Arabidopsis thaliana: one gene and its partner. The protein of the gene in region 2 interacts with the protein of the main gene of each other region in a pairwise test. Each region holds a gene or a part of one and is shown on either strand. Other genes may lie near its edges.

Region 1 (3,600 bases), about 19 Mb from region 2:
TTTTGGAATCGCGGCTGCGGTTGCCATATCTATTAACCACTGCGGTTGGAGACTAACCGTTTTCGTGGGCTACCAATTGAAACGATTTGATTTTGTCAGTTAGTTTGTTAAAGCGTTTTAAATTAGCGATTGTAAAAAGGGAATGAGCATTATTTTTGGACAGACTAATTTAAACAGTCTAAAAAATTAGACGATTCATTGAACCGCTTAGAAAAAGTGGTTGGAATTCATTATTATTTTTAAATTTTAATGTGTCTATACTTTCATGAATTTTGTTTTTTATATCTATAAAACAATTTATGATATGTCACTAGCTTACTATACATATTTTTTTAGTCATTAACATCATTTCTCATTGCTTTAGGCTATATTGTATTCTCTACAATATAAATTGAAATAAGGAAAAAAAAAACTTACAATGACTAAATTTTAGTCACCAATGGAACTAATTATTTTGTAAGAAGGTTGAAAACTACTTTTTTTTTTTTCTAGAAGAGTCGGCGAACAGTGATGGTTAAATGAATTATGGGAGCCATGTTTGGCCTTCGTCTGCTGTCAGCCAAGCCCCTGCGAAACCCCACCCCTGGCCTGTGCAAAAGTTTACGCGCGCATTCTGAGAACGTGCTTTCCACGCTCCGATTAAGACGTCACTAAGAGTCAAAGCACTTTGATTTTCTCTTCTTTTCTCACAAAACACTTTCTTTTTTTATATACAGTATGATTTTTTTTTTTGTCGTCATTTTTTTTTATTTATTTATTTAATATGCCTCTTATGGTAAAACATATTTCAAGAAGGTTTATGTTTCTATAAACTAAAAGTTATCAACGGCAGATGAATAAATATGGAACTAATTTTCTCTCTAAATATCCAAAAATATGAGAATGTTGTCCATGGTTTTGGGAACAGAATGAGTGACGGAAAAGCCATGAAAAGAAAAGGTATCTTAGGAATATCATCTTCCTTTTGCTCGCCTAACCTTTTTTTATTGTTCTTCTCTTTTTGAATTTAAAATATTTTTCTGCTCTCTAGTAAACATTTAAACCATCGTAATAAATTGAGAATAAAGTGTGTGTATGTTTGTGTGTGTGAATGTTCGGTGTGATTTCAATTTATTGGAGGATAGAACTGTTGTGTCGAAATTGACACACCAAGGTGCCAAGTTGAGTACAAAATAAAGATCCTCTAGAGGCTACATCTTCGTCTAACAATCCTCATAAGTCTTCTTCTTCTTCTTTTTTTTTTAGTTTTCAACACACTAATGTCAAGTGTTTTGTTCATTTCTTTTTAGTTATAATATGTCTCTTGAGAAAATGTTGATATTTAGTTTGTTGTTGAGCCATTTATTTTCTGAGACAAATTTGGTCGTTAATGGATAATATTCTTAGAGATAGATCTACAGTACTGTGACTTTTGTGTAAAAACAAATTTGTAGCCGTATTTAATGGGCTATTTCGTATTTGGACAATAGCCTTTTATTTTGTGGGCCATGATATGTCAACACTGCTCAATGCTTATAAATGTTGTCGACATTTAACGAACGATATAACACCAAAAACTTCGAGTTTGTAAAGAAAAATTATGAGAGGATTACATTATGGTTAGCATATCTGACTATAATAAATTGAAAAATTACATTACTGGTTGATGGAAAGACAAATTTTTATTGAAGTGTACTTATTTCTTTAATTTTATTGGAATATAATATTCGATATGTGTTATTATGGTTAGCGTCTGCATATATTAATTTACGATTACATTATTGGTTAATGGAAATACAAAATTTTATTGAACCTTAATTATTTCTATAATTCTGTTATAAAAATATTTAAAACAGAGGTCAATATTTTTAAGAGAATGTTCAACAATCTGGTTAAGTAAGGGGAAAGAAAAAGCTTAGCTGGCTTTGAACCGGCTCGGCATTCCTCTGTCACCCACCAAACCAAACCGAGTCATCCTTCGTCGTCTCTCTTTCTTTTTCTTCAACTTCCATTTTTCGAAAGGCGACGAGAAAAAGTATTTCTCCAGTTTTGGAATTCGCCATGGCTGTTGATAGCAGAATGGATCTGCTAAGCGAAAGAGCTGTGTTGATGAGAGCATCTCTTCAAAAGAGTCAAACCATCACCGATAATGTTGTTTCTATCCTCGGCTCCTTCGATAGTCGTCTGTCTGCTCTTGAAACCGCCATGCGTCCTACTCAGGTGTGGTTTAGAGTGCTCCGATCATCTTCTCTGATTGTTTTCTAATCCAGATCTGGTATTATAGCTCTATGGAGTTTTGCTGACTTGATCGGATTTTGGTTTGACTGTGTTTTGAAATCTCAGATTAGGACTCATGCTATAAGGAAAGCTCATGAGAATATTGATAGGACTCTTAAGGCTGCTGAAGTTATTTTGTCTCAATTCGATCTCCTCCGTCAGGTTTGTTTTACAAATCTTGCTTCTGATTTTACTAACATGGATCGGTATAAATAGATAGAATTGATAATGATCTACATTGAGAATAGATAGTCTTTGATTATGCTCTCAATTCAATTCTAGGCAGAGACTAAAGTACTCAAGGGGCCACATGAGGACCTGGAAAGTTATCTGGATGCAATTGCTCAACTCAGAAAGATTATTCGTTATTTTATGAGCAACAAAAGCTTTAAGAGTAGTGATGGAGTTCTCAACCACGCAAATAGTTTGCTTGCTAAAGCACAGTCAAAGCTGGAGGAAGAGTTTAAGCAGTTGCTAGCTTCTTACAGGTTTGTGCTTCTGCGCCTGATAAGAGTTTAAGAAGCTACATGATTTCAAACTTGATGCTCTTGCTATAACTATGACTCATACCTTGTAACTTCAGGGAACAAAGCTATTGTGGATTTTTAGCTACTTTTTCTAGTTAGTATTTTTTTGGGAACTGGTCTTCGCTCTATGATGGTCTTACTTCTTTAGTTATCTTTCAAATAACCTAGAATACTTAGAATGACCTTTTATCTAAATTATCGGAGTTGTCACCTGACAAAGATTTTTTTTTGTGAAATCAAACACTTGTCAATATACAAGTTTCCTATGATACGAGTGTTCCAGACAACTGGTTTTAGATGGAAGAATGCTAAGGCCAACTCTTTTTTTTTGTTATAATCAGTAAAGCGGTGGAGCCTGATCGCCTATTTGATGGCCTTCCCAACTCACTGAGACCATCCTCAGACGGGGATGGAGGTGGAAAACCCCACGGAGGACATCACAATGATGACGCGGAAACTGCTGCTTATACACTTCCAATCCTCATTCCGTCACGGGTGTTGCCACTTTTGCATGACTTGGCACAGCAAATGGTTCAGGCTGGTCACCAACAACAGTTGCTACAAATTTATAGGTGAACTATTGATTCTTGGTCATTCATCCTGTATGTCGTACAGTTCATTTTCAAATCAGGCTCTTAGCTTAAATTTTCAACTAATAATTGTAGCATGAGTCAAAGTACTGAGTCAAGGTATAGTTTCTTTGAACGATTGCGGGTATACAATTAACTTACATATAATTCTCACCAGTCACCGCTCATTTACAAAGTAGTTTTTCCATGGTTTCTGCAAGTTGTGAGTTTATATTTGACTATCCTTC
Region 2 (3,959 bases):
GAAGAGATGAAAGTACAGAAGAGCTTAAAGTATGCTTTTCGTTTGCTTGAGATACTAAAATTTCTCCCTCATCAAAAGCTGCCAGAGCTTCATCCACCCTTCTTTCAGCTAATAAAGCATCAAGGTGGTCAGGAAATTCCGTAGCCCATTTCTCCAGATCAGAGAGGCCGTTGTCCTCAAAATTCAATAAACCATTCGCAAGAGATTCATCAGAAACTTTATCGTCATCAATGTTAACTCCATCTGCTAAGCCATGGATTAGAGTCGCCTGAGTGGAGAGAAGATTTCTGATAGATGATAGCTCCCCCTCAAGATCTGATATCTCTTTAGATGTGCTGCACAGAACAGAAAAAAGTTTAATTTTCAAAATAACACACCGCCAAGAAAAAACAATAAGGTAGTGCGAGGAAAAAGAAGTCATATGCAAAACGCAAATGCACCAATACCCACAAGAAATGAAATAACTTGAAAAAGTAGAGCTTTATTATCACATCAACTTCAAAGAAAATAACCAAGCACTAAAAACAGACAGGATATCAGCTAACCGTATAAAGGCTGGATAATTAGCATAAACACTTCGCCGCATTTCTTCAGCAGATGCTCTCTTCAAATCCAATAGATACGAGCATAACTGCTTTATATCCTGTGAACCGAACAGAAATATGTCATCATCCCAAAATAACTGAGAAAAAACAAAGAGTCCAGCCAAGTAATCCAACAATCTATGTTAACCAAATCAAACACTACTCTTTTTGTAGTAAACTCTAGAAGGCCTAAACTAACTTTTCCCTCAGCTCTCTCACACCATCACAGAAAGTGACTACACAGACGAGACACCCTTTATACCCAATACCATAACCGAATTGAATCTTTTCTGTAACAGAAAACGAGAACAACAGATTCTGTCTCTGATACAAGACATAGTCATCCATGTATATTCACATGAGCTACATTCTGTATTACACTGAACACATCATTTGGCAAGCTAAAAGCTTATAAATGGGTACTAAACCTATCAGCATTTCTTAAGAGTAACATTTTTACATAATCATAATTCACAAACTGCCTTCAAACTCCAGAAGATCACAAGAACAACCATACAAGCAATGAGTATTGTTACATTGCTCATCATCTTCTCGAGCGTATAAAATCTGCTGCTACCTAATATCCATTCCACAATTACGATTTCCTACAGCTAAAACGAAATGCAACAAAACAAGAACACTGCGATGATACAATCCCAAATCTACGAACAAGTCCCCACAGACTCAGTCCTAGAAAATTCTCACTCGTGATAACAACAAATCAACGAGAATAAGAACACGAAATGATAAAAGAACAGAAAAAAACCTTCTCGTTGATAGAACATTTGGATTGCACATAAGCATCAGCATCGAACTTATCAGACTTGAACAGACTCAATCCTTCCTCGACTCTGACACCATTTTCCTTCGTCGGCGTAGCTTTTGATCTGGCCGTCTTCGCCGCCATCGTTAAACTTGCCTGTCTTCTCAGAGAAAACCTAAAATTTCACAGCGGTTCCAGATCAGCAATCCCAGTGATGCCGGTAATGTTACCGGAGAATTAAGCACAGATCTGAGGGAGCTCCTAGATACGGAGAGCAGATAGAGAAAGTGGGTAGAAGAAGATGATGATCGAGTTGGCAACCAGAGCGATTTAGCCAACGACGGTAGCTTGGCTTTTTCGTCTGCTTAAACAAACGAATTTTCTTGTTGAAAACTAATAAATAAAATAACGACTCTGGGTTTTTTTTACTGGATTTTTTACTAGTAAACGGCAAAACAGAAACCCTCTCATTTGCACGGAGGCTTTCCTTTATCCTTCACCTCTGCCATCACTTGAGCTAAACCGACGCCGTTTTAAAGAATGCTTACTTTAAGATTGCCGTTAATGTAAATCTGAGCAAAAACCTTTGAAGAATCATATCATCGAGACAACAGAGAGAGATGTTTTGTAGCTTATCCATTTCCAGATTTGTCTCGAGGAAGACAATAACATCATCATCTCTTCTCTCTCGCAGTTTCAGATTCCTTCTCTCCGTTGATTCTCCTCCTCACATCCCTCTTCTACGCCCTTCTTCCAACACCCTAATCCCTTCCTCTTCCTTCTCCCGCCGTATTTGGGACTCCTGCAGCGGCGGCGGCGGAGGTGGCGGCGGAGATGATTATGATCACATCAGAAGTGACGTCAATTGTCCTCGTTGCTCTGCTCAGATGCACGTCATCTTCTCAAATCGTCCATTGTCTCTAACAGCAAGAGAACCAGGGATCTATCAAGCTGTTAATTTCTGTTCTCAATGCAAAACAGCTTTTTACTTTAGACCATTCAAGCTCTCTCCTTTACAAGGGAGTTTTATTGAACTCGGGAAAGTTAAAGGAACTGATGATGACCATGATGATGATGATGATGATCAGAAATCTTTCCCTAGGAATTGGAAAATTCAAGGTCTTAGAAGCGATGAAGATGGTGAGGATGCTGATGAGGAGGAGGATGAAAGTAATGGTGGTGATAAAGAGAAGCAATCTGTGATTAAGCTTCCAACTCCTAAGGAAATTTGTCAAGGGCTTGATGAGTTTGTCATTGGTCAAGAGAAGGCTAAGAAGGTTTGGTTTCGGTCCCTAGCTTCTTCTTCTTTGTGTCTAAATTAGATTCTTGTTTACATATCTTTCCTTTTGTGCAGGTTCTTTCTGTGGCTGTTTATAATCATTACAAAAGAATATATCATGCTTCTAGGAAAAAAGGGTTTGTCTTCTTCCATGCTCTTATCATTCTGATACTTTATATGGGATACAACAAAGCTCGATTCTTTTGCTCTTTTTTTAATAACAGGTCTGCTTCAGAATCATATAACATTGATATGGAGGATGATAATATTGATCACGTGGAGTTGGATAAGAGTAATGTGTTGTTGCTTGGTCCTACTGGTTCAGGTGCATATTGTTGCTTGCCATATTGTTTTGGAGAGTATTTGGAGATACTGTTTAGTATGATAATGATCTTGGCCTTTATGTTTCTTGCTTGGTTATAAGAACAGGAAAGACTTTACTGGCAAAAACTTTGGCGCGTATTGTCAATGTGCCATTCGCTATTGCTGATGCGACTTCACTAACTCAGGCAAGTTGTTTCACTTATCCCTCTTAAGGTTTGGGTACTCAGAACATTAGTATGTTGTACATTAGGGAAGCATTAGGCCCACTAGGATGGATGCCTTACAATCCCTCATTTCGAAAAATATTTTGAATGAAGTGATGATGTTTTTCTTGCTTTTTAGAGGAATCTTAACACAAGTCTTGCTCTTAGCATAACTAAACTACTCTTCTTGTCCAGGCAGGTTATGTTGGTGAAGATGTGGAATCAATATTGTACAAACTATATGTGGTATGTCTTACTATCACCTCATATTATGTCTCTGGTTTTACATATTTGTTTATACCTTCATTTGTAATATAATCTTAACAACTGCTTACGAAATAGTTTTTCGCTGACTACGTCTGAAACTACAAATGTACTTTGTTCCTGTCTTTGTAACAGTTCAAAAAAAAAATTTCTTCTCACCACTTTCTTCTTGATCCACTATTTTAGTATTCGGAAAATCTTGTTATTTGCAGTATTCATGTTAATTTCTTTCTTAGATGCTAATTAGCAACCGCTTTACTTTGTTACTGCAGGAAGCTGGGTGCAATGTAGAAGAAGCTCAAAGGGGAATTGTGTACATTGATGAAGTTGATAAAATGACTATGAAGGTCTGAGTTTTCTTCACTCTTTACTTTTGATTCTGAATTGGTTGATACTCAATATTTAGCAAGTTATTTTTCGCTGTCAGTCTCATAGCTCAAATGGTGGTAGAGATGTCTCTGGAGAAGGTGTTCAACAGTCATTGCTAAAATTGCTGGAAGGAACTGTAAGCTTTTTCTACTTGAAATCTTTAATTTAACTCA

Evidence for each region. Proteins that work in one complex are often made in the same cells at the same time.
Region 1: the proteins of EXO84B (region 2) and EXO70A1 interact in a two-hybrid assay, tested with the Arabidopsis thaliana proteins (one study listed by BioGRID).

The regions. Positions count from the first base shown.
Region 1 is NC_003076.8:887,566-891,165, forward strand, and holds the start of EXO70A1 (exocyst subunit exo70 family protein A1), read left to right. Parts: upstream 1-2,000; 5' UTR 2,001-2,040; coding exon 2,041-2,199; intron 2,200-2,322; coding exon 2,323-2,418; exon of another isoform or gene 2,419-2,538; coding exon 2,539-2,744; intron 2,745-2,951; coding exon 2,952-3,029; intron 3,030-3,124; coding exon 3,125-3,355; intron 3,356-3,600. UniProt on the Arabidopsis thaliana protein: Component of the exocyst complex involved in the docking of exocytic vesicles with fusion sites on the plasma membrane during regulated or polarized secretion. Involved in polarized cell growth and organ morphogenesis.
Region 2 is NC_003076.8:20,253,276-20,257,234, forward strand, and holds the start of EXO84B (exocyst complex component 84B), read right to left. Parts: upstream 1,765-3,959; 5' UTR 1,492-1,764; coding exon 1,351-1,491; intron 1,190-1,350; coding exon 1,075-1,189; intron 875-1,074; coding exon 804-874; intron 644-803; coding exon 546-643; intron 336-545; coding exon 1-335. Other genes in the region: AT5G49840 (ATP-dependent Clp protease), read left to right, coding at 1,968-2,624, 2,702-2,763, 2,851-2,951, 3,056-3,135, 3,349-3,399, 3,690-3,764, 3,845-3,922. UniProt on the Arabidopsis thaliana protein: Component of the exocyst complex involved in the docking of exocytic vesicles with fusion sites on the plasma membrane during regulated or polarized secretion. Involved in polarized cell growth and organ morphogenesis.